3 linked regions of the Schizosaccharomyces pombe genome follow. Changing the gene in region 2 together with the main gene of any one other region gives a genetic interaction. Each region holds a gene or a part of one and is shown on either strand. Other genes may lie near its edges.

The links. A genetic interaction does not mean that the proteins touch.
Region 1: mutations in cwf15 (region 2) and iss9 together harm fitness more than expected from each alone (negative genetic interaction), as found in Schizosaccharomyces pombe (one large-scale study listed by BioGRID).
Region 3: mutations in cwf15 (region 2) and plb3 together harm fitness more than expected from each alone (negative genetic interaction), as found in Schizosaccharomyces pombe (one large-scale study listed by BioGRID).

The regions. Positions count from the first base shown.
Region 1 is NC_003423.3:2,963,997-2,970,831, forward strand, and holds iss9 (nuclear export factor), read right to left. Parts: upstream 2,613-6,835; 5' UTR 2,527-2,612; coding exon 1,879-2,526; exon of another isoform or gene 1,829-1,878; coding exon 1,699-1,828; intron 1,631-1,698; coding exon 1,221-1,630; 3' UTR 1,109-1,220; downstream 1-1,108. Other genes in the region: bmc1 (Bin3 family regulator), read left to right, coding at 231-839, 882-1,079; origin recognition complex subunit Orc6, read left to right, coding at 3,359-3,540, 3,599-4,211; protein ess1, read right to left, coding at 4,326-4,799. UniProt on the Schizosaccharomyces pombe protein: Required for transcription elongation. May also be involved in pre-mRNA splicing.
Region 2 is NC_003423.3:1,035,808-1,043,724, forward strand, and holds cwf15 (protein Cwf15), read right to left. Parts: upstream 6,223-7,917; 5' UTR 6,167-6,222; coding exon 6,152-6,166; exon of another isoform or gene 6,093-6,151; coding exon 5,310-6,092; 3' UTR 5,181-5,309; downstream 1-5,180. Other genes in the region: rhn1 (RNA polymerase II transcription termination factor), read left to right, coding at 1-27, 96-290, 338-1,057; serine/threonine protein kinase Ppk27, read left to right, coding at 1,270-1,975, 2,043-2,578; chaperonin-containing T-complex theta subunit Cct8, read right to left, coding at 2,740-4,095, 4,382-4,503, 4,556-4,595, 4,649-4,771; ecm14 (carboxypeptidase), read right to left, coding at 6,488-6,586, 6,627-6,874, 6,916-7,044, 7,094-7,199, 7,241-7,917. UniProt on the Schizosaccharomyces pombe protein: Involved in pre-mRNA splicing.
Region 3 is NC_003424.3:1,068,815-1,076,389, forward strand, and holds plb3 (lysophospholipase Plb3), read right to left. Parts: upstream 3,549-7,575; 5' UTR 3,314-3,548; coding exon 1,325-3,313; 3' UTR 1,109-1,324; downstream 1-1,108. Other genes in the region: wdr55 (WD repeat-containing protein), read left to right, coding at 1-1,002; SPOM_SPAC1A6.11 (uncharacterized protein), read left to right, coding at 4,720-5,040; plb1 (lysophospholipase 1), read right to left, coding at 5,963-7,575.

The DNA of each region.
Region 1 (6,835 bases), 1.9 Mb from region 2:
ACCGCTAGCGATCCTTTCTAAATTGTTGGATGCTTTAAGACTAGTTTTTACGAGTCGGACGTTGAGTTTCAAGATATGTAAACATCGTTAATGTATTAGTAACAACAACAAATTGAAACTTCTCGCTTTTGTTTAAATAGTTCGATTCGTAAGTTTTCGTTTAAATTCCATTGCAAAATTTATACTTTTATAAAAAATAGGGGTGATTTGAAAAACCTCCTCGACTTGGGATGTCGAATTTTCAACATGGAAATTATCACAGTTATTACAGCATGAGGGGAGGAACCTCAATTATCGATCCAAGACTTAAATGTTTGCCTGATTCCCTTTTTTATGAGGCTTCAGTTTTAGATATAGGATGCAATAATGGGACAGTGTCTGCTCAAATTGCCTCAATATTTGGTGCATCATTTGTTTTGGGATTGGATATCGATCATGTTCTCATCCAAAAAGCTCGAAAACATCTTGAGTTTGTGAGCTCTCGAATTGGCCCTGTACGCAATCCTGGTTCCATTGTAGAAGACCAGTTTAATTATTACCCCATTTCAAGCATTAAAAAGTTTTCCAGGATACCAGTGCAACTTCAACCACCTCTCAATAAGCAAAATTTCCCTCACAATATAGAATTTGAGACCGCTGACTTCTTGCGCTGGGAATCGAAACGAAAATTCAAAATAATACTAGCATTATCCGTATCTAAATGGGTGCATCTAAATAACCACGATGAAGGAATCATTAAATTCTTTGGGAAGATTAGTTCTTTATTGGAAACGAATGGTGTTCTTATTTTAGAACCTCAAGGATGGGACTCGTACTTGAAAGCTGCAAAAAAAATATCTGTAAGTCACGACTATCAATACTTCTAACTCTTACTTTTCTAGGTTTTTAATCAAACACCTGAGAACCTCAAAATCCAACCTGATGCGTTTGAACATTTGCTTAATCAAGCAGGACTAGTGCTTGAATACAGTATCGAACCTCAAGTAAATAACTCTGAGTACAAGAATTTTGCCAAACGAACAATGTATATCTATAAAAAAAAAGGAATTGGAATCATAAAACTATTAACTTCTACTTAATTGTCTAGTAAAACGTTAAGAATAGACAATGACTGGAACTATAAAGCATAATGTCCCAAAAGGACGTGTCTCATTTTTTATTAAATTCTCTAATTCAACATATGAGGAAAGAAAGAAAAGCGGAATGAAGTAGTTTTATTATTAGATTTGGCCTTTAATATCAACCACAGCATGCTTTTTCATGCATTTTTCGAATCTATCCGTGCTTTCTTTCATCAGTATGCGATTGGGATCTTTTGAATCGTATACAGCATTACAACTCCTAAAAAAGTTTACACAATCTTCCATTTCTTCAAATGCTAGTGTGTTAGCCAAAAATTCCATTGTAAGAGAAGGGCGATATGCTTTGCACATCATTATCATCGCCTGCACTCGTTCTCTCTCAATAAAAAGATCCATCAAATAACCTCCCATGTTGGGAGCGACTAAATATAGATGGAAAAATTTATAGTAATCGCCAGTAGCCATCGCCGAACGGACTTCTAATGCATGTGTAACAGCAGCGTTTGTTTTGTCTTCTTCTTTTAGATTGGCGAGAAGGCTATTCATTTCTATAAATTGTTAATAATTTGAATTCAAAAGATATATTCTTTTAAGCAGTAAGCCGTAATTAACTTACCAGATCGATTTTTAGTGAAGAGCATATACAGAATACGATATGCTAAAAATTCCTTAGTATTCCCTGGTATACCAAAACTGTAAAGATGAAATAATTGAGTTTGACATTGGTTATACTCGCCAACATCACCCTAGTCGAACGTTAGAAGAAGAAATGATATTTTAAAGTAATTAACCGTACCTTTTCAAGAGCTATACGAGCATGTATTTCGTAAACTAATACAGAAAACTCATTTTGAATCCTTTGCACAGTTAAATCCTGTCTTAAACTTTTAAATTGATCGCATATATATGCATAGTTTTTCTCTTCTTTCCATTTCTTCTTTAAAAGTTCGAGAGTTTGCTTAAGAACTGGAAGGGGTCGAACAGTATCCGGATCAGGAGCCGAAGTTAATCGCAAATACCTTTTCTCTAATTCTGTGGACCGTCCTATAATAGCACCATTCTCCGGGTTGACTTTTAGCTCTTCAGATTTAGCGTTATTTTGAGAACGAGAACCATTTTCAAACCTTCTTCTTCTTTTTTCTTTCTTATCCACTTCATCTTCTTCACTTAAAAGTGAAAATTGATTTCCAGAAACAGGCTTCTCAACCTTTCTTTTTTTATCTTCGATGATTGTATTTTGAGCATTTGTCAGTTTCCTTAGGGATTCTAAATTCATAGAAGACCAATCAACATTCCATATGTTTCCCATTTCGTATTGACGAGAAATTAGCAATTTTACTTCATCCTCTAATTCTGGCTGGCTGTTTTCCTCAGCGTCTTGGATGCATCTACCAATAAATTCTTTCAAAGAGTCCGGCCAAGGGCTATGATGTTCTTTTTTCATATTTAATATTTTTCATTGAGCTATATGATTAATGCTAAAGTTAAGTACTTTTCTCAACTTCCTCAATTGCTAAAGTGGTGAGTACCGAGATTGTATGAGAAGTGCGAGTCCGTCAGCTTAACCCTGTCAGTAACGTTGTAAGTCGATTTCATTATCCAACCTTTCAATCAATAAGGATTAATTTATTACTATTCAGTTGATCGTTCATCATTTTTTCCTTTAAAAATTTAAAAAGTCATCAAATAATTCAACGGTTCCACCTAAACTTGTTTGTTCGCTTAAAATTTATGAAACCAACATGGAAAGTAGTTAATATTAACTCACGCTATTCACGCATATTTTATTCTGTATGCCTCATATAGCCTTGATTAAACTACTAAAAGAGAGTAATATACCGAATTATCAAGCCTAAAACACTACCTCCCAATAAAGCAATCGTAATTCATTATTAAATAAAAAAAAATTTGAAGACTGCTTCGAAAGTTTTGTAGTAATATCTTGAAGAATGTAGGTCTAAATTCTAAGCTTTTGGTGACATTATTTAAGATAACTAGCAACCGGAATGATTAAGCAAGAGTCATATTAAATAAGTACGGAATATAAACACCAAATTCAGTGGTGCATCAAGTAGATAGATTTTATATTTTTGAAACAGCTGGTAGTATTAGCAGCATTAAAAACATCGTTTAAATGTCTCTGTATTAAACACCATATTGACATAAAACAAACTAAGCGTTCACCACTATTATGATATTATGAATGATTACATGATTTCAATAATTAATAATCAAAATTAAATGATAAAAGTTTTATTAAATATATTCATTTTCTCATGGAGCGACAACAGATTATAGAGTCTTTACGCAGAATAATTCCCACTGAAAGTACAGAATATAATGAACGGCTTATTAGTTTAGGAGAGTCATTTTTGGAATGGTCCAAATATAAACATAATCTAAAGGCGACAGAAGAGTTATGCCGTCCTTATATGGCAGCGCACTTAGCTTGTGAACTGTAAGTAACTTCTGATGTTTAATTACTCTACTTGAACTTGTTCTGACTCTTTAAAAAGATTATCCAATGATTTAAATTTGGAAATAAATTTACTAGCGACTCCAATTCCAAAAAAGAAATACTATAAACTTTTCACTTACTTTCAAGAAATCTTATCTCCATTAACTAAATCCTTAGCAGCTAAAGATGATCTGATGGAAACCATTACTTATCTTTGTACCAAACTAGGGGGCTCAACTGCTATACCTTATGTTAAACAATTGGTGAAAGCCGTTGTTACAAACGACATGCGCATCGAACACAAAAGAGGCATCATAATCGCAGCTTATTTACTAGTATCGGCAAAAGCTTTTGGAAAAGACGAACTTCATATAAATCACACCGAGAGAAGAAAGGCACAGAGTGTTTTACAGGATACAAGTTCTGCATTGCAAATTCAGTATTGGATGCATGTCCTCTCAGAAAGTTGGCAGTATAAAGAAATCCCTTTAAATGGTATAGAGGGTTATGAATCTCAAAAGCAACGGATAAAACCTTGGAGTGGGATAGCAAGCATGATTCAAATAGATTACGAAAAACGACTTCAAAATTATCCAATATGGAAGGCCTGCATTGAAGAAAGAATCCAATATTACAAAAGCCAGCTTGAAAAAGATGGTACTGCTTCATGAATACAATTTACTATATTAATTTTTTTTTGTACATTAAACAACATTTATAAACGGGTACACGATATCTTTAGTGATATATACAAATACATGAGTAAAAAAAAGTTAAATTAGACTCTAAGCTTTACTAATAGACCACTCCAAATTTGTAATAGACACTTCTGAAGAGGCATTTTCATCATAGTCATACCAATCATCCTCTAATACTATTTCGTCAAAAAGTGTATTACTTTCAGCACCATTAGCTATCCATTCTCCCTGAGGAATGAATTCGACTAGTTCACATCCTCTGCATTCCAATACGAGAACTTTTTTCGTCTCTTGAGAATCATTGTAAGGAGAGAATGGCCCCTCTATAACGAAAGAGCAAGTTTTGCGACAATTTTTGCACGTCCATATGAGATTAGCCTCGCCCTTGCTGCCAGGTATGCTGTGAGTCTCGCTGCGGGAGATTTCAATGGCATTGTCGTGAATCTCTCGACAACCACTACATTGGACTTTAAAAGCATAATAGAAGGATTCTTCATCCTTGGGAGCTAAATTTTTCACACCAGTCAACTCAGCGTTTAAGTTAAGAGCAAATTTTCCCATATTGCGAAAGAAACTCTAGGAATGCAGCTTAACAAGCCGTTATATGTAATAAATTGAAAGAACAAGAAGATAGTAGAGTATGGGTATGTTGTTCGAAACGAATCTGTATTTTGGAGGATTAGAGTAATTTGCCTTTTGGTGGATTACGATGGTGAATGAATGAATATGCATGAATAGATACACCTATTTTAAGTCCGTAGAATGTGAGGGGCAGAAAAAAACTCAATTAAAGCATACTTTTCAATGAAATTAAAAAATTACAGAAATGCTAAATTTGAAGTAATTGGATACGTTTTTCTCATTGAAATAATATATTGATGAAGAATATAACATAGTCAATTATTAAATGAGACTTGGCAAAATCTAAATATCAGCTAAGATAGCTGTTCATTTGAGTGAATTACTTGGAGTTTGCTTAGTGACGGATACATAGTTAGTCTAATATAAAAACATGCCAAATATCCTCGACAATCATTATTCAGCAAGTAATTTTCGAATACTTGGTATCATTTTTAATGTTAAAAGTCATATTGTACTTTTCGCAATGCCGTAGCACAGATAACCAGCTACACGAATTTATACGGCAAATAGTCAAATTCCAACTATTGTGTTTTGTCCATATTTCATTTAATGCTTTACCGTAGACAAATTTACATGCAACTTTTTTATTTGCTTTCTGATTGATTACAACTTGTGTGAGCATTTCAATGTATACCTTCATCTGCAATTGCCCTTTACACACATTATTTCTTTACCTTTATTAACTTAGCCAGAATTGGGAAGGCCAGTCATTCTAGCCTGCAGCATTTTACGTTGTGTTCACTAGGGATCCCTAAAAGGTTAATGTTTTAGGGTGATTAAAGGTCGACTGGTATGGTATGGTATGGTAAAGTGGTATTTTTTGAAAATTGACACCAATAAAACATCTGCATATTTGTAGAAGCAAGAGTGATTCAGTAAGTGCTTGCGAGGAATAAGAGGTGTGGCGTGTATGTTGAGGAGCTTATTAAGCCAATTTTTTTTTTTCATATCTTTAACGACGAGAATCATTCAAAGAGCCAGAACAAAAAACAGATGACATTATTCAGGCCTGTTTACGACTGACATGACGCTATACGAGAAACAATATTGTCGGAGCGAGGATGATAAAAGTGTTGAAAGTGCGAAAATCGTGAATAATCTATATTTATCGCATGTGTCGGGATTGCAAATGGTACCATTGTACTGCAATTAGACTAGGTAGTCCTGGGCAGTCGCTGAGACAGCATTGGAGTTAGTGTTTACAATAGTTGATTATACATGTTTCATGTTTGAATAGCGAGGTTGGGAAAAAGAGAAAAACATCATAATAGTCAATGATGGTATTTAGTCATGATAGTAGTTTATTACAACAGCAACAGTAATGATCATAAGTAATACCATCATAGTAATATTTGTAGAAATAATGATATAAACAGTCCATACTAAGCAGGGATGATATTAGCTATACTAAGATGCCTATGGCAATCTGGAATTACATAACTACGTACGCTTTCTTTTTACATCTACTGGGACACTGTACATGCTAGAGCAGTGCATTCTGCTATTTTGATTTTTAGTGAGCTCGCGTGCAGCTTGATCGACAAAGGATCGACTAAAAAAATGCGGGATTTACAATACATAAGATTCACCAATAAGCAGAGTTAGAAGCCAAGGCCCGCATATTGGACCACTCACCAGCCCGTTACGCTTCCTCCTTATTCGCCTTTAAAATACTAAGTAAACACAAGTAACATACGTTTCCTCCATGCTCGCTAAATTGGTAGCAATAAAAAAATAGCGAGCACGCTCGGATGAGATAAGAAGACATAGCAAAGCTTAAAACATTAGTAAATAGTACGTGCATTCTTTATGGCAAAACGTTTTAACATTTTCTGATATTAATATTAAACAAGAAGAAAAAGAATAGAGTAAAAGTTAAATGTAGGGTGCAACGTTCCGTAGAAGAGGACTACGTGAAAATGACAGCAAAGTATAGTTTTGTGTATGTCAACAAT
Region 2 (7,917 bases):
TCTGAATATATTGATGCCGTTTCTCCAGTAAGTTACTATCATTATGAGCTTGGAACATCTCCTATATGGTTTAGATTCTAATAATATTTGCATAGTATGTCGTAAACTCTGTAGCTGACGCGTACGCGTCAGTTCCTGCTTCCATTAAAACAAAAATCAAATACGTTTTTGACGTTTGGTGTCAACGCGGCATATTTTCTAAGGAGATACTTTTATCCTTGCAGGAAAGGTTTAATAATGCCGAGAACAGTGGCCATTCTAACTATTACCCCGTTGGCCCTCCGGAATGGGTATGCCGCAATTCAAATAAAATATCAGAACTTTACTAATTGCATAGGCACCTTACACTCGTTTAATGACACAAACTAGTTTATACGCAAAATCTGCTCACTCTACCAAAACTGTGGTAGATGCATTGTATAAATCATACTTGGAGAAACAATCAGATTATTCTGAACTACTCGATAATTATAAAAAGCAACTAAATAAAGCCTCTGAATCATGTAAAGGTAATTATCAGGCTTGCATCGAATCCCGATCCACACTCATTACTTCCTTGGAATCGCTTATAGAAGAACAAAAAAAGCTACTTTCAGAGGAAGAAGAGAGCCTAAAATCTGTTGAATCCATAATTTCTAATTTAGAGAATAAGGAAAGTACAACAGCTACCTCTACCTTGACCGATGCAGGTTTTGGAGATAAAAGTTCTACTGCTGGCAAACATAATGTAGAAACAACATCACCTCCGTCTAGTTCTCCAAACAGTGATGATGCTTATTCTCCTCAAGTAGATTCTTACTCTCCAAGCATTAACAGCGTACCATATACTTCCAATATTGTCGAAAATCCATCTGAAGACAATCTCTCTCCTCTTCCTCCTCCTGCCAGTGGACCCTATTCCCAAGAAGAAGAAGAAACATCATTATTTAAAAGCCAGAGAAAAGAAGAAAATGAAGAGGAATCTAAAGAATTACCAGAAGACTCAGATATCTATGGAAAAGATAGTTCTCCCTCTTCGGACGACTCTAGTGCAGCTGGTCTATATGGTGATAGCTGAAATCCATGAAATGTAATGCTTAGTTTTCATTATTTTTCTTTTTTTTTTTAAACTGTCAATCAATGTGGCAGTCTTAGTCAATAAGCATTTTTAGAATACCTATCCTAACCTTTTATATGCGTCAGTACCTGACTTCATCCTATCGAAGCCGTTTTTGGAATTTTGTATATTTCGAAGAAAGTTGAGCCCTATCTAGGAAGAATGGGCTTTTAATGTCTGAAAAAAAACATTCTTGCGAAGAAAAATCGCTGCAACTATATCCTCTTTCAAATAAAATTCGTCATGTAAATCCGAATATTTCAGCTCTTCCGTCTGAGACTGATATATCTGAATCATTGACGAACGATTTAACTAAACTAGAAATTTCTAACTATGCTCCATTTAATAGAGATTTAGAGACTTTTTCCGATTTAATTTTTGGCTTAACTAATATACAAAAAAAATCATTGTATTCTCTTCAATTAGGCAGAAGTAGAGGATATGCTTTATATTCAGACGAGAATGAGAAATATTTGTGGTCTATAAATACTAAAATCACCTCTACGGAACAAAGGGAAGTACTGCTTGTCAAATCTAATAATAAGAAGTTTGATACTTCCATCGTCCTAAAACATACTCACTTATCATCCAAGTCTCAAAACGAAAAAAAAGCTAGAGTAAAAGTATTTCGGCAAGAAATTTGGGCCCTCAAAACTTTGTCGCATCCATGTGTTGTGCAGCTATTAAATTACTACGTTTCCTCCGCCGAATTAATACTCGTAGAGAATTATTGTATGGGAGGAGATCTCTATCATTACACTAAAAAACATCATTCGGATTTCAGCCTTGAATTTGTTGGGCGAATTTTTTCTGAGTTAGTACATACAGTTGCTTACCTTCATTCCAAATGTTTGATTCATAGAGATTTAAAACTTGAAAGTAAGCTCGATGAATAAGGATTTTCAACTTTTACAGTTATGATTTTAAACTAACACTTTGTCTTTAGATATATTGCTTACCCAACCTTATAATGTTATAAAGACGATTGATAATTGGAAGAACTACCCAAATGCTTTAATTCAGATTTCTGACTTTGAGCTTTCTATTTTTGTTGACAGTAAAAATCATTTAGTGCAATCCAGCTGCGGCAGCCAAGAATATGCACCACCGGAAGTTTATATGGGTATTGCACATGATGGATTTCGCGCGGACGCTTGGTCTCTCGGAATAGTTTTATTTGCACTATTAGAGGGTCGTCTTCCCTTTGACTCCTACCCAACTTTGGATCCTGAGAATGTAAGGATCAAACGTTATGTTCAAAGGCTTGTAAGATGTGATTATACATGGCACTTATGCAAATCGCCATTCAAAAGATCTACTGGAAATACTAATGATAACGACGATCCTTCATGGCGGTTCCGCTTATTTGTGAAAAAACTTCTCAAAAATAGAGACCAGCGCAGCACACCGACTGAATTGTTAAAAGATTTTAATAAACATGGCAACTTTACTTTACCGTTATTAGAGAACGTTACGATTTAGAGACCTTTAATGATAAATGTCTTACTTCAATGGATTATGTCTGTACCTAATTATTTTGATAACGCGCTTTTAATTTCAATAGAAAATTAGTAGCAGATTTTTACAAAAACTATTCATCGTTTTAATCCAATCCTAGTAGAAAAATGAAACTCACTTAAATTTTAATCATCATCCCAATGAGGGTTGGGGCCAGGTGGTTTTGGACCTCCAGCTGGTTTAGACATAACAACTTGATCAACGTTTAAAACAGTGAGTACAGTTTCAGTTGCTAATCTAATTGCTGATTTTTTTGCTAATAAAACATCAAATATACCAGCTTCTTTCGCATCTAATGTTCCATCATTTTCACATTCAACATCAACTCCAATTGATTCACCGTTTTCCTTATGATGGGCAGCATAAAGTTTGCTAATAACATCAGTAGGATCTAATCCAGCGTTTTCTGAAATAGTCCTAGGAACAACCTCAAATGCTTCTCCATACTGTTTGATTGCATGTTGATATATACCAGGAGTTTTTTCACCAACTGAAATTAGACGAATACAGAGTTGCATATCACTAGCTCCAGCACCAAAGATTAAACGGTTATCTTTGACCAAAGCTTTTACGATATTTACACCATCATCAATCGCTCTTTCCAAATCATCCAAGTATGTCTTAGTAGCCCCTCGAAGCACGATTGTTGCAGTACGTGTAATATCCTCAACTTGACGGAATACAGTGACACGATCACCACCAATCTCAATCGTCTCAACAACATCGACGGATCCCATCTCTTCAGGCATGGGAACACCCATACGAGCCAACGGGGTAGCGCCAACCACCCGACATAAGCGACGTAATTCAAATTTGCTTGGCACACGAATAACAAGGATTTCAAATCTATTCAAATAATGTAAAACTAAGTCATTGACATTGCCACTAGTGACAACTACCCTAACACCAGCATCGTAAATTTCTTTAATGTGAGACTCAATAAGGTTCTCCTCTCCTTTAGAAAAGTCAAGCATTTCTTGAGCATTATGCAACAATACTGTGCCTTTTGTTTCGGTTTGAGAAATATCCAAAGGGCATGAAAAAACAGCAACTTTAGCTTCTTTTGAACGTGTAACGGTGCCCTCTGGCTCTCTAGGAAATACCATGCCCTTTACAACCTGAGAGTTATAAAGGCTACTTCCCATAATTTTAACCACACGGATATTGTCAACGTTAAACTTGGATGGATCTTTGGGAAGAACTGTGAGGATCGCTTTAGCAACTAAATCCGAAAGGAAATCTTCATTTCCATATTGCTTAGAAGATATACAAGTTCGAATTGCTTTAATAAGCTCCTTCTCACTTTCAACAGTCTCAATTTTATCAGCACAAATTTCCTCCAAAACCTCCATAGTGTGTGATAAAGCCATTTCGTATCCTTTAGCAATTTCCAAGGGAGTGAGACCCATGCGAATCATGTTTTCAGCCTTGGCTAAAAGTTCACCTGTAAATACAACCACAAAATTTGCAGCATCACCAAGCTAATGGTTAGTAAACAGAAAATGGTTTTAAGAGCAAATCAATGTACAAATATTTGAAGTATAAATAAACAAAGTAAGCGTCAATACGATAGAGTTATATAAAACATGAAAACGTTGATAAAAGGGTAATCAAAGTGCTTTCTAAAATGCCCTTTTGTAAGGCACATGAGTGGATCAAAAGGTAAAGGAAGCTTAAAATAAAGTCCGCAAAGAAAAAAAATCCGCTTATTTAATGTTCAAACAAGTGTATCTCAAAAAAAATTGTACAGTTAATGAATTAACTTACCTCATTCTCCTGTTGTTGGGTAGCATCGACAACTAGTTTAGCAGCAGGATGAATAACCTCCAATTCACGTATAATGGTCGCAGCATCATTCGTCAAAAACGTCTGTTGCAGATGATTGACAACTATGTGTGTGTTAGAGAATAAGAAATGAAATAACTGTTTGAGTCAACATACCAATTTTATTTTTTCCATTTGGACCCAAAGAGGTACGGGTCTAAAAGTATCAGTAAATGAATGAAACTTGCTTAATAAATTATAGGTCCTTACGATTTCTGAAAGTTCACGAATAGCATTACAATTACGGATTACTGCATCCTCTACGCCCTGCATAATCCGATATCCTTCGCGAAACAGTTGAGGCCCAGAGGCCTTTGGAACTCGCAAAGCCATTTTGTTTACGAAAGCCTTTATGTCTTGGTAAAAGTCAAGTGGTGATTAGCCAGTACAGTAGTAAAACTATATTTCGGTATTGAGCAACCATCCTTGCATTATGTTAAATAAATTAGTGATTTCAAAAGTAAAAGCAAACGACTTCAAAAGTATATATATAGTATTTCTCAAATGTTTCCTTCGTACAAAAAGTTATAGTAGTTGTCTTTTTTAAAAATGATAAAATATTTACATTAAATTATAGTAAACTTTTCAGTAACCCCTTCCGTTAACGCAGATTTGGTGAGAGAATAAATAAGATATGCATCACTCAAATAAAGGCTTTGCAATTATAAATTTTGTAAACTTAATATACCAACAATTGTAACTACTAAACTCAGTACAGCCAGTATTAAAACAAAAAAAGAAGCAAGTTATCAATTAAACATTATCATCTCATTTATAAGTAACATTCTTAAAAATTGCCTTGTATGATAGCAGTAGAATGAAGAAATTTTGTTTTGTGGAAAGAAAAGAAGACAGCAAACCCACAGGTGATTTAATCAACAAATCTTGCCAAGAACTTCTTGTGAAACTCGCTTCTCAACATATCATTAACAAATCCAGGCCGAGGTGTGTCATCAACCCCTTTATGTGTATTCCTAAAAACAACGTCTTCGTCCCATCGACGCTTAACTTGAAAAGACCCTGAAGAAGCTTTATTCAAAAGCTCATTTCCAAAAGCTATTTCCCGTTCCCTTTTTTCTTGCTCCAGTGCTCTGTTTTTCTCTTCCTGAAGCATTTGCTCTCGTTTTCTTTCTTGTTTTATATTTTCCAACTCTCGAAGTAGCTGTTGTGTCTCATCTTCTGAATCGGACTCTTCGTCCGAACTTTCTGAATTTGATGAGTCAACGGATTCTTGAGAATTTGATTCTGTTTTTCTTCTTTTAATTGATACCTCAGAATTTTTATTTGAACTATCCACACTGTCGTCGCTATCGCTAGCATCCTCGTCCGCCTCCAAAGTCTGCCGTAACAGCTCTTGATAATCAACCTCAACATCGTTATTGGGTTTATCGTCCGTTGAAGGGGAAGTGAAACCTTCTATGAGTTTTGAATTCTGGCTTACTTCTTCAGAAGAGGCACCATGTTCTTGAGTTGCAAAATGTGCAGCCTCTGCACGTAACAATGCCTCTCGTAAATCCTGTTTTCTGACCTCTTCCTCAGTTCCTTGAGATTCTTGTCTATATTTTAGTTTTAAATGAGCTGGTAATGCGCGACTAGACGTTATCCTAGTAGGGGCCATTTCTGAATGCCCCCTAGCTGGATCAAATTGGGGTCTCTAAACATGAGTTAGTTTTAAATTATAAAATAGAGGATATATATGTAAATTGAGCATACATGTGCAGTCGTCATATTGAAAAAATATGCAATTCACAACTGTTATTATTGAGACTATGTTGGTGGAGTGCAAATACGATTACACCAAAAAATCTTAATATTTACTCTTGCAAAGTAATCATGATTCACTACTTTAGTAAGTATTCACTCTTAAATTCTTATAACGTTCTAAAAAACGTTAATTGATAGAACTGGATTTATTGTTAAGACAGGTAAATAACGCATCAATTGAACCACCTGGAAGGAAGGTATTTATTTTCATAAATTAATAATTACTATAATTAAATTTGGCAAAATTGCCAACAGATAAGCGAATAATTATTGATCTTTCTTGGACTAAAATGCATACTCAGCGATAAACTCTCCATAGTAAAGAATCATCGCAAAAAATTCCTTAGCTGTGGGGACAATCTGTTTAGCAGGTAATAAATATCCCTTGTTTAATTAGTAAAAAATTTTAGAGATATCAACTTACATAATCACCCATGTCTCGTAATCGAATATTGAAAGGCCATGCTACATCAGCAGCAAAATAAACCCAGTCAATGGCAGTTCCAGGTAGGTAATGTTTATGAAATCCATCATACGGTATACATGCTTGTTGATATGTGTAGTATCTACTATTTACGCGATGCAACTCTTTAACTAAGCCAATTGCTAATTCCTCAAAATTCTCAGTATCAGGAGGAAACAAGTCGCAGGTATATGCATAAGGCCACAAAACTAACTTAATTAGTAAATGAAAATAGACTGTCGAAACATACCAGATTGTGAATACGAATGCACATCAAGAAATCCAACGACCTTTTTCTGCTCTTGCGACAAGGATTCAGTTATCAGATTGAACAAGGCCATAGTTTCGTTAGCCTGAAAAGGTGATAATCCTCCATATTCTTGAGTTTGTTAGTTGTAATAAGTCATCAAAAAAAATAGTTCGCTTACCGTTGCTGCAAGGATCAATATTACCGTTGAAGCCAAATGCCCAATTCGCATCGAGATTTATGCCAAAACACTCGGAATTATTAAGAGGCTGTCTGTTTTTTGACCACTGACAAATAATTAGTATATGCTTCATTACAAACCACTTACCAGTCTATCGTTTGACCATGTATATTCATAACCATCAACGTTTAAAACTGGAATAAAAATCCATTCAAATTTATCCAAAAGCTTTCGGACATGACCATCGGAATCATATTTTGCCAACAATTGCCATGCGGCATAGCAAACAGATGGAATACCTATCCACTCACGAGCATGAGATCCTCCTTGAATAATAATCACTTTCTTGTTACGAATCTTTTCCCCGTTGTCGGAAGGATGTCGACCGTTCAATTTTAGGCCTAAAATCGTTCGACCTTCCGCTGTAATTCCAACTGGAACTAGTTCACTTAAATCTTTGTAAAGGGACGCCATCAACCTCAACCAGGAATTAATCGATTCTAAATTCTGATATGACTTGAAAAAAATATCCGTAAAGGAAGTAAACATTTCGTGATTTAAATGACCATTTTCAACGGCTTGAAGGAAAGCTTCTGTGGAAAAAGGGGAATTCGTAGTATCTGGAACAATGCTTTCAAATAAGGTCTCTGTCAGATTGTTTATAAGTATGTCACTACGATATTGACTCTTCCAAAAATCAAAATTTTCTTCTTTTAAACGTAAATCCACATGATCGAAATTGTAGTCCCAAATATCAAGGTTTTGACTTTGAGCTTTCTGCAAGATATCGCTCAAATTATTTTCTTCTTCCAAATGCAAACGGA
Region 3 (7,575 bases), on a different chromosome or scaffold from region 2:
TTACTGGGTTTTTCAAACGGCAGAGTTAGTAGCTATCAATATGATGTCGCACAAATAAGTTTGGTCGAGCAATGGAGTACCAAAAGACATAAAAAAAGCTGCAGAAATATTTCAGTAAATGAATCAGGTACCGAATTCATTTCTGTAGGTTCAGATGGTGTTTTAAAAATCGCCGATACCTCAACGGGGAGAGTGAGTTCAAAATGGATAGTGGATAAGAATAAGGAGATTTCTCCTTATAGTGTGGTTCAATGGATTGAGAATGATATGGTCTTTGCTACAGGTGATGATAATGGTTGTGTTTCTGTTTGGGATAAGCGCACCGAGGGAGGCATTATCCATACCCATAATGATCATATTGACTATATATCTTCTATTAGCCCATTTGAAGAACGATACTTCGTTGCTACTAGTGGTGATGGAGTTTTGTCAGTAATCGATGCTCGTAATTTCAAAAAACCAATATTGAGTGAAGAACAAGACGAAGAAATGACCTGTGGAGCTTTTACACGGGATCAGCATTCAAAAAAGAAATTTGCTGTTGGTACTGCCAGTGGAGTTATAACTTTATTTACAAAGGGTGATTGGGGGGATCATACCGATCGCATTTTATCGCCAATTCGGTCCCATGATTTTTCAATAGAAACAATAACTCGTGCTGATTCTGACAGTCTGTATGTTGGCGGAAGCGACGGATGTATACGTTTGTTACACATTCTTCCAAACAAATACGAAAGAATTATAGGGCAACACTCTTCGCGATCAACCGTAGACGCTGTGGATGTTACTACCGAAGGCAATTTTTTAGTTTCCTGTAGTGGAACCGAACTAGCTTTCTGGCCGGTTGATCAGAAGGAAGGAGATGAGTCATCCTCCTCTGATAATTTAGATAGTGATGAAGATTCCAGCAGCGACTCTGAATTCTCGAGTCCTAAGAAAAAGAAAAAGGTGGGAAATCAAGGGAAAAAGCCTTTAGGAACTGACTTTTTTGACGGTTTATAATTCAAAACAGCTTTGATATCTATAAAATTGCACAATCATTATTAAAATTAATTGTCTGTATATTTAAAAATAAAAGCGATCTTCCTAAATTAACTAAACTAAACATCTTCATTAGAGAAAAGAAACATTGTGCTTCGAAAACTTAAAATGAATTCACTAACACTAACACTAAAACTACAAAACCTTTGAACCCCACAAGTTTGGTAGTGATTAATACCTTACAATTAATAAATAAAAGCCTGACTCAGTCTATGCTTTTTAATTCTTTCAAGTCGAAAAGTGACTCATACCAAGGTGTGTGAGTGGGGGAGGCTTTCGTCGTCTATAATAGTAACGAAACTGTTAGAAGCGAAGCAAATAAATAAAATACTATAGGTTTGGCTCGTACAGAAGAGGTACCAGAAGTGGTTGATGCAGATAACACAGTAGGAGCATAGTTTGAAACGGCACTAGGGTTGTTCACGGTTGTTCCATTCCAGCAGTATTGTTCAAAACAAGAAGAGCATTGACTAGGAGTAGACATATTTTTGCGCTCCAAGGAACGTTGTATCATGGCGCATGCCAAACAGACTGCAAATGAATCGCTGTTGTTTTGAGTAGCCGATAGAGCAGCATTTTCAAGAATGCCACTGGACAAAGTGTCATTCATAGACATGGTAAACGTGGAAATATTGGAATAGTAAACCCAAGGATAATTGGGGAAATAAACAAGAAGAGGAGGTGTATTGTTATCTACGGTATGATTACCTGCAGTAGTGTTTCTGCCGTCACATCCAAAGAATGTTGGATGAGTGTTCAGTCCCAAGGAAATGATTGTGTCCTCATCAGGGATATACGGGAAACCTCGAACATCAACACTTTTATTGGCGTTATAAGTTATAATCCTTTCATATGTAGTAACAATAGAAGAGCCATCAGGCCAACCATTAGAATCATCATAAGTTGCGTCAACAGCAAATATAACGTCAACAAATCTTTGAGGATGTAACAAAGGCCAAATAGGAATGTTCTCATCGTCTTCACCACCATCTACTAAATCAATAGTATCGAATCGCTCAAAAGGGTTTTTGACGGTGGTGTTTGTAGTCGTGAAATTCTGATAAGGATTGGGGTAAGGAGCGATGTCATTTTGATCCTCAGAAAGTTTTTCAAATACTTTATGAATAATATCATAGAGAGTACTATTTGACGTTACTTCCTGACTCCATTCTAACAGAAACGTGTTGAACAATGTAGCTGAAGTACCCATAACAAAACCGGCATTATCATAGTTACGAATGCACTTATGGTCTGGTGGAACACCATTCTTTAAATGGGTACCGACGTATTCCATAGGGAGAAAAGCTTTAATACCATTGTCCCAAGTACCAAACTCGTATGGAGTAAATTCGAATATACTGGTGTTGGCAGGGATAGCTTTTTCCTCTTCCAAACGACTGTCAGATATAATGATGGGATAAGGATAGTCGGCATTTTGGAACCAAGTTTGGTTTCTAATGCTAGAAAATGTGATATTTGGACCACCTTGGGTAGCATCGACAAGCTTACGAGATAAAGCGCGTCCCCAAAGATCGGTCAAAGAAGTATCGAATCCTGCATCTTTCTTTTGATCAATCTCATCATCCAGGTCGTCATAATAAGCAAGATTTTCGACAACATTGTCACCATGAGGAGCAAAGACACTATGTTCCAAATTCCAAACGTTGTCACGTAGATAAGTAATATTGGCAAAGTTATTAACAGCTACGGAACCGACCAGCCATGAACCACCAGAAAGACCAGCGATATACATGGCGGATTGAAGAATTCCAGCAAGTGAAGAACCATTGCCATTTCGAGAATCGAAAGCATTTAAAACACCTCCTCCGTGGACCATAGCGCGGAGTCCACCGCCAGAAAATGCAAGTCCTAAACGAGGGCCATCTGAATCATTAATCACAGAGTTTACATCTACGTCCAAACCAGTGTTGGAAATAAAGGACCTCATTTGTGTATTGATTTTGGGGATACGTTTATCAATGAAACTTTGCTCGCCTGAACTTATTCCGTCAGAAGCAGGTCGTAGCATATAGTCACTAGGACAAGTTACATTATAAGGCGCGTATGATCCAACACTGTCGCGCTTGGAAAGCGAAATCGCCAAAGCCTCTCGTTTTTGCATTAATGAAAGAGGCGTGTCATGCATGCCCGGTCTCATTAAGTCAGATTCCCCAAACTCATACGGATCCGACATTTGCTCGCGACAAGGCGGGTACGCCAAGGCCGGCAGGATCTGGAGCAGAGCGAGTATTCCAAAACAATTAAATAACATTGTCTTTTTTTTTTATAGTTAAACCGTCTTTAGGTCAATAAATTTGGGAAATTATGCCAAAATCTACACACCGCTTTGCTTGAACTCAGAGATTAGAAGGCCGTTACAAAAACGCGCTCAAAACAAACGATGGAATCAACGACTGTCTCTCTAGACCCACAAAAGTTTAGAAAATTGACTATACCCTCAAACAATTTTCTTGTGAACGAAAACAACACAACAACGGAATATTTGTAAACGGATGGTGAAACAAATTAAACCAAAAGCGCCCTACTACGTAAAAATTTTAAAACTCCTTATAGCTGAAATTCACCCGTATTCCAACGCAGCTCTTACTGTATCACTGTATCTGCTTACCGTGCTGTTATTTCTGCTCCGGTATATGAGGATCTGATTATTGTAATTTGTGTCTAAATAAATGACAAGTTAGTATCCAAAGTTATTGATTTTTATTAAAAAGCATAGCGTCTCAATGTTAAGATAAACACTGGATTTTGCTCTTGAATTTGGCGAAACGCTTGACAATTCCATGGTTTATAAAATTTTCTGTTTGCGGTATTGCGGAATCAAATGCGAAACCATTTACCATTTCTGTTCATCGGCAAACGTCGCATCGTAACCGAAAACCTGGGATTCATCTGCTTTATGTTTCATACAAATGACTTGCAGTTTTGCAATTTCATTCAACAAATTCATGAATTCCTATTCTTTTTCTTTTATTCCAATTAAATACAAGCTCATGCCTAGTCTCCAAGCAAATCCCCCCTTACACTTTCTTACCCTAAAAGTTAGTAGTAGCTAAAGTAGCGACTTGTGCGATAATTTTAATATTGGGAAAAGGCAAGTTGAAAGTGATTCAGCCTATATATATATGTATATATATGTAAGCAGAGACACATATGTCTATCTTTGACAGATTTTTTAGATTCCCATTTTGTAGATCAAAAAAGGTCCATTTACATCCCCATGATGTAAATGCCCTTCCGTTCTATGCGAAAAGAGACCGAGACTGTCGGTCCTTTAAATATCGCTTAATATGTAAAGTTGTTGTGTAAATCTATATTTTGAGCAGTCGCTGAGACGCAAGCCTTTACGTTGAATTTGTTGCTCATCTTCTGGTCAACTATGACTGCTTTAAAGTTCACATTGGGATGAATGTTGCTAAGCTATATATCTAAAATCCTTAACGACGGAAACATTTGCAGGTTAAGTATAGGAGAATGTAGCGTTCAACCGGGCTGGTTATTTCAACTGCGCCGCCCTCGGATATTAAGTGTGCCTCTTCGAAACCGGACCTTTCTAAGGAACTTGCAGATTGTCCTTGACTATTATTTAACACACATTACTGGCATCAAATTAGTCGCATTACATTACAACTGGCCGCATTTTACATAATTGATTAAAATATGAATCACAATGTTTATTTATTAACTTCCTTCAATCTTTGGAGTCATGGTGTATATAAAATATCATCAATCTCTCTCAGTAACTCTTTTTTTCCTCATAGTTTCATGTTTGTAAAGTCGCTACATCTAATGACATCACAACATATCTTCAAGTGTCTTTCTTCTTGTAATTATGCTCTTTCAATTCTACATAATATATGTTTAGCCAGTTTTCTTTATTTATCAAAATGTTATTATCATACACACATACTTACTTCTGTTCGATTAGATTTTTGTAAATCGCATGCGCATACCTATATCAAAAGCAAAGCCTCAACTTAAAGTTAACTCGGATCCCATTTCGTTTAGACTTAAAGCATAAAATGCACACTTGCTAAATAATTTTGCAAAACACGTAACTCACAGTCATCGGATTAGAAAGTAAAGCCCGAGGCCGAGCAAAACCCGCGCAACTACTACAATTTTTTTCTCCCATTACTCGTTGTGATGTATTCTATACTGTCTCATCTACATCCCCACTACTTCATTGATTAAATTGCGTACAGTTGATATAATTTGTAAATGATCGTATAATCTGTTTTACGTTAACTAAATTTTTTCATTTCTACATCTCCTTCCTCATCCTAATTAATGAATTATAGGCTGTATGTTAAAGTTCACTATTCCTTGTTCAAGTATAGCAAACCTTTAAAAATCAAATTTTATCATACAAAATATATACATATAAATAATAATTTTTTGAATCAAACAAAACAAAAAAATTACAGTCAACTTATTTATATAGACAAACAACATTCTTATTACAACCAAGAATTAAAAAAATGACTTATTTTCGCAACTATATATAACAGCAACTCTCATAAACAACTAGAACACGTCCAATTTGGAGCCGTCAACAAAACTGAATTACAGCAAACGAAAGCTCACAATAGAAAATGAACAAAAAACATTCCGAAGAGAGGGTAAATTAGAATAAAATACTTTCGGAAGATAACAAAATAGTCTCCCTAATTAGAGCGGAGTGAACGTTCAGTTTAATAATCCGTTAACAAAAACCCATATCGCGTAATTGGATTGATTCACATATATGGCTAGGTTTGATTTATGCTAAGACAGCAGACATTGTATAGATTTTTTTTAAAAACTTTTTTCCAGGCATAAGCATTGCCCTCTATCTTTTGCTTGTGAGCAACAGATATGTCGTATAAATACTGAAGAGAGAAAAGTTTGCATGCGCCTTTCCTTAAATGCCTTCACCAAGACGGCAAGTAGGATTGTAGACAATATCATCATTAGCAGCGCTGTCATCATAAAGACCGCTCCAGCAGTAGTTATAGTAGCATTGTTGGCACTCGGGGCTAGCAGTGATGTTGTTACGCTCCAAAGTACGCTTAACAACGGCACAGGCAAAACATTGACCAAAGTAGGTGTCATTGTCAACGGTAGAGGAAATAAGGCCGTTGGTAAGAAGTTGTTGAATCATGTCTTCAGTGTAGTAGGTGCGATCAGTGGAAATGTTAGTGAAGTAGTTGTAAGGAACGTTGGGAAGATAGATAACCAAAGGAGGAGTGTCACGGGTAACAGTGTGGTTACCAGCAGTGGTGTTACGACCATCACAACCAAAGAAGACAGGGCGATCGTTGAAGTGAAGACTGACAAAGGATTGTTGGCTAGGAACGTAGGGGAAACCCTTAACATTGGTGTTTCCGGCAGCTTGGGCAGCAACGACACGCTCATAAGTTTGGACAAGAGAGTTACCGTTGGGCCAGAGCCATTCACTGTCATCACCATTGTCAACGGCAACGATAACATCGACATCACGACCCTTTTGCAACAAAGGCCACAAAGGAATCTTCTCACCAGTAAGGAAGGTATCAACTAAGTTAAGGGAAGAGCTGGAACCCAAGTTGTTGGCAGCATCAGAATTAGCACTCTCAACACCTTGGAAGGGGTTGGGAATGGAGATGATTTGTTGACCGTTTTCAGAAAAGTTACCTTTCAAGTATTGTTGGATGATACGACCGTTCTTGGTAGAAGAGTCATTGAAGTTACGCATTATCTTGTTGAAGTAAGTAGAAGAAGCACCCATCATGAAACCAAAGTTGTCATAGTTGATAACGCAAGAACCATTGCTGCTAGCACCATTGTTTAAGGTAGTACCCAAGTATTCGGTAGGAATAAAGGAGTTGATTCCATGGTCAAAGGTACCGAAAACGTTGGGGGAAGCTTCAAAGAAAGTAGTGTTAACATTGCTAATATCCTCACCATAGTTTTGGGTAGCAAAGGTAATGATGGGGTAAGGGAAGTTGGCATTGCGGTACCATTCTTGGGAAGTAATACTAGACAAAGAGACATTAGGGAAACCATAAGTAGTGTCACCAAGGGTACGAGAAATCACACGTCCCCAGTAATCGGAAAGACTGATGTTAAAGCCAGCATTGGCCTTTTCGGCAACTTCATTCATAATAGAACTGTAGAAATGAGCGTTGAAAACAATAGCACTCTTGGGATACATCAAAGGGTGGTTGAAAGCCCAAAGTTTGCTAAAGTCGTTAATGGTACTGAAATTGTTGAGAGCAATGCCACCAACAGTCCAGGCACTACCATCAGTACCAACGAGATAGTCAGAGGCTTGAAGGAGACCAGTCAAAACAGTGTGGTTGTCGTGACGAGCATCCATGGCAGAGAGGGCACCAGAACCCAAAATCATGGCACGTAAACCACCACCGGACAAGGCAATACCGATAGAAGGACCTTCAGAGCCAGAAAGAGTATCGGCATTCAAACCAGGCAAGTTGGCGTTACGAAGGAAGTCCTTCATGGCAGTGTTGGTAATAGTAGAACGAGTGCTCAAGT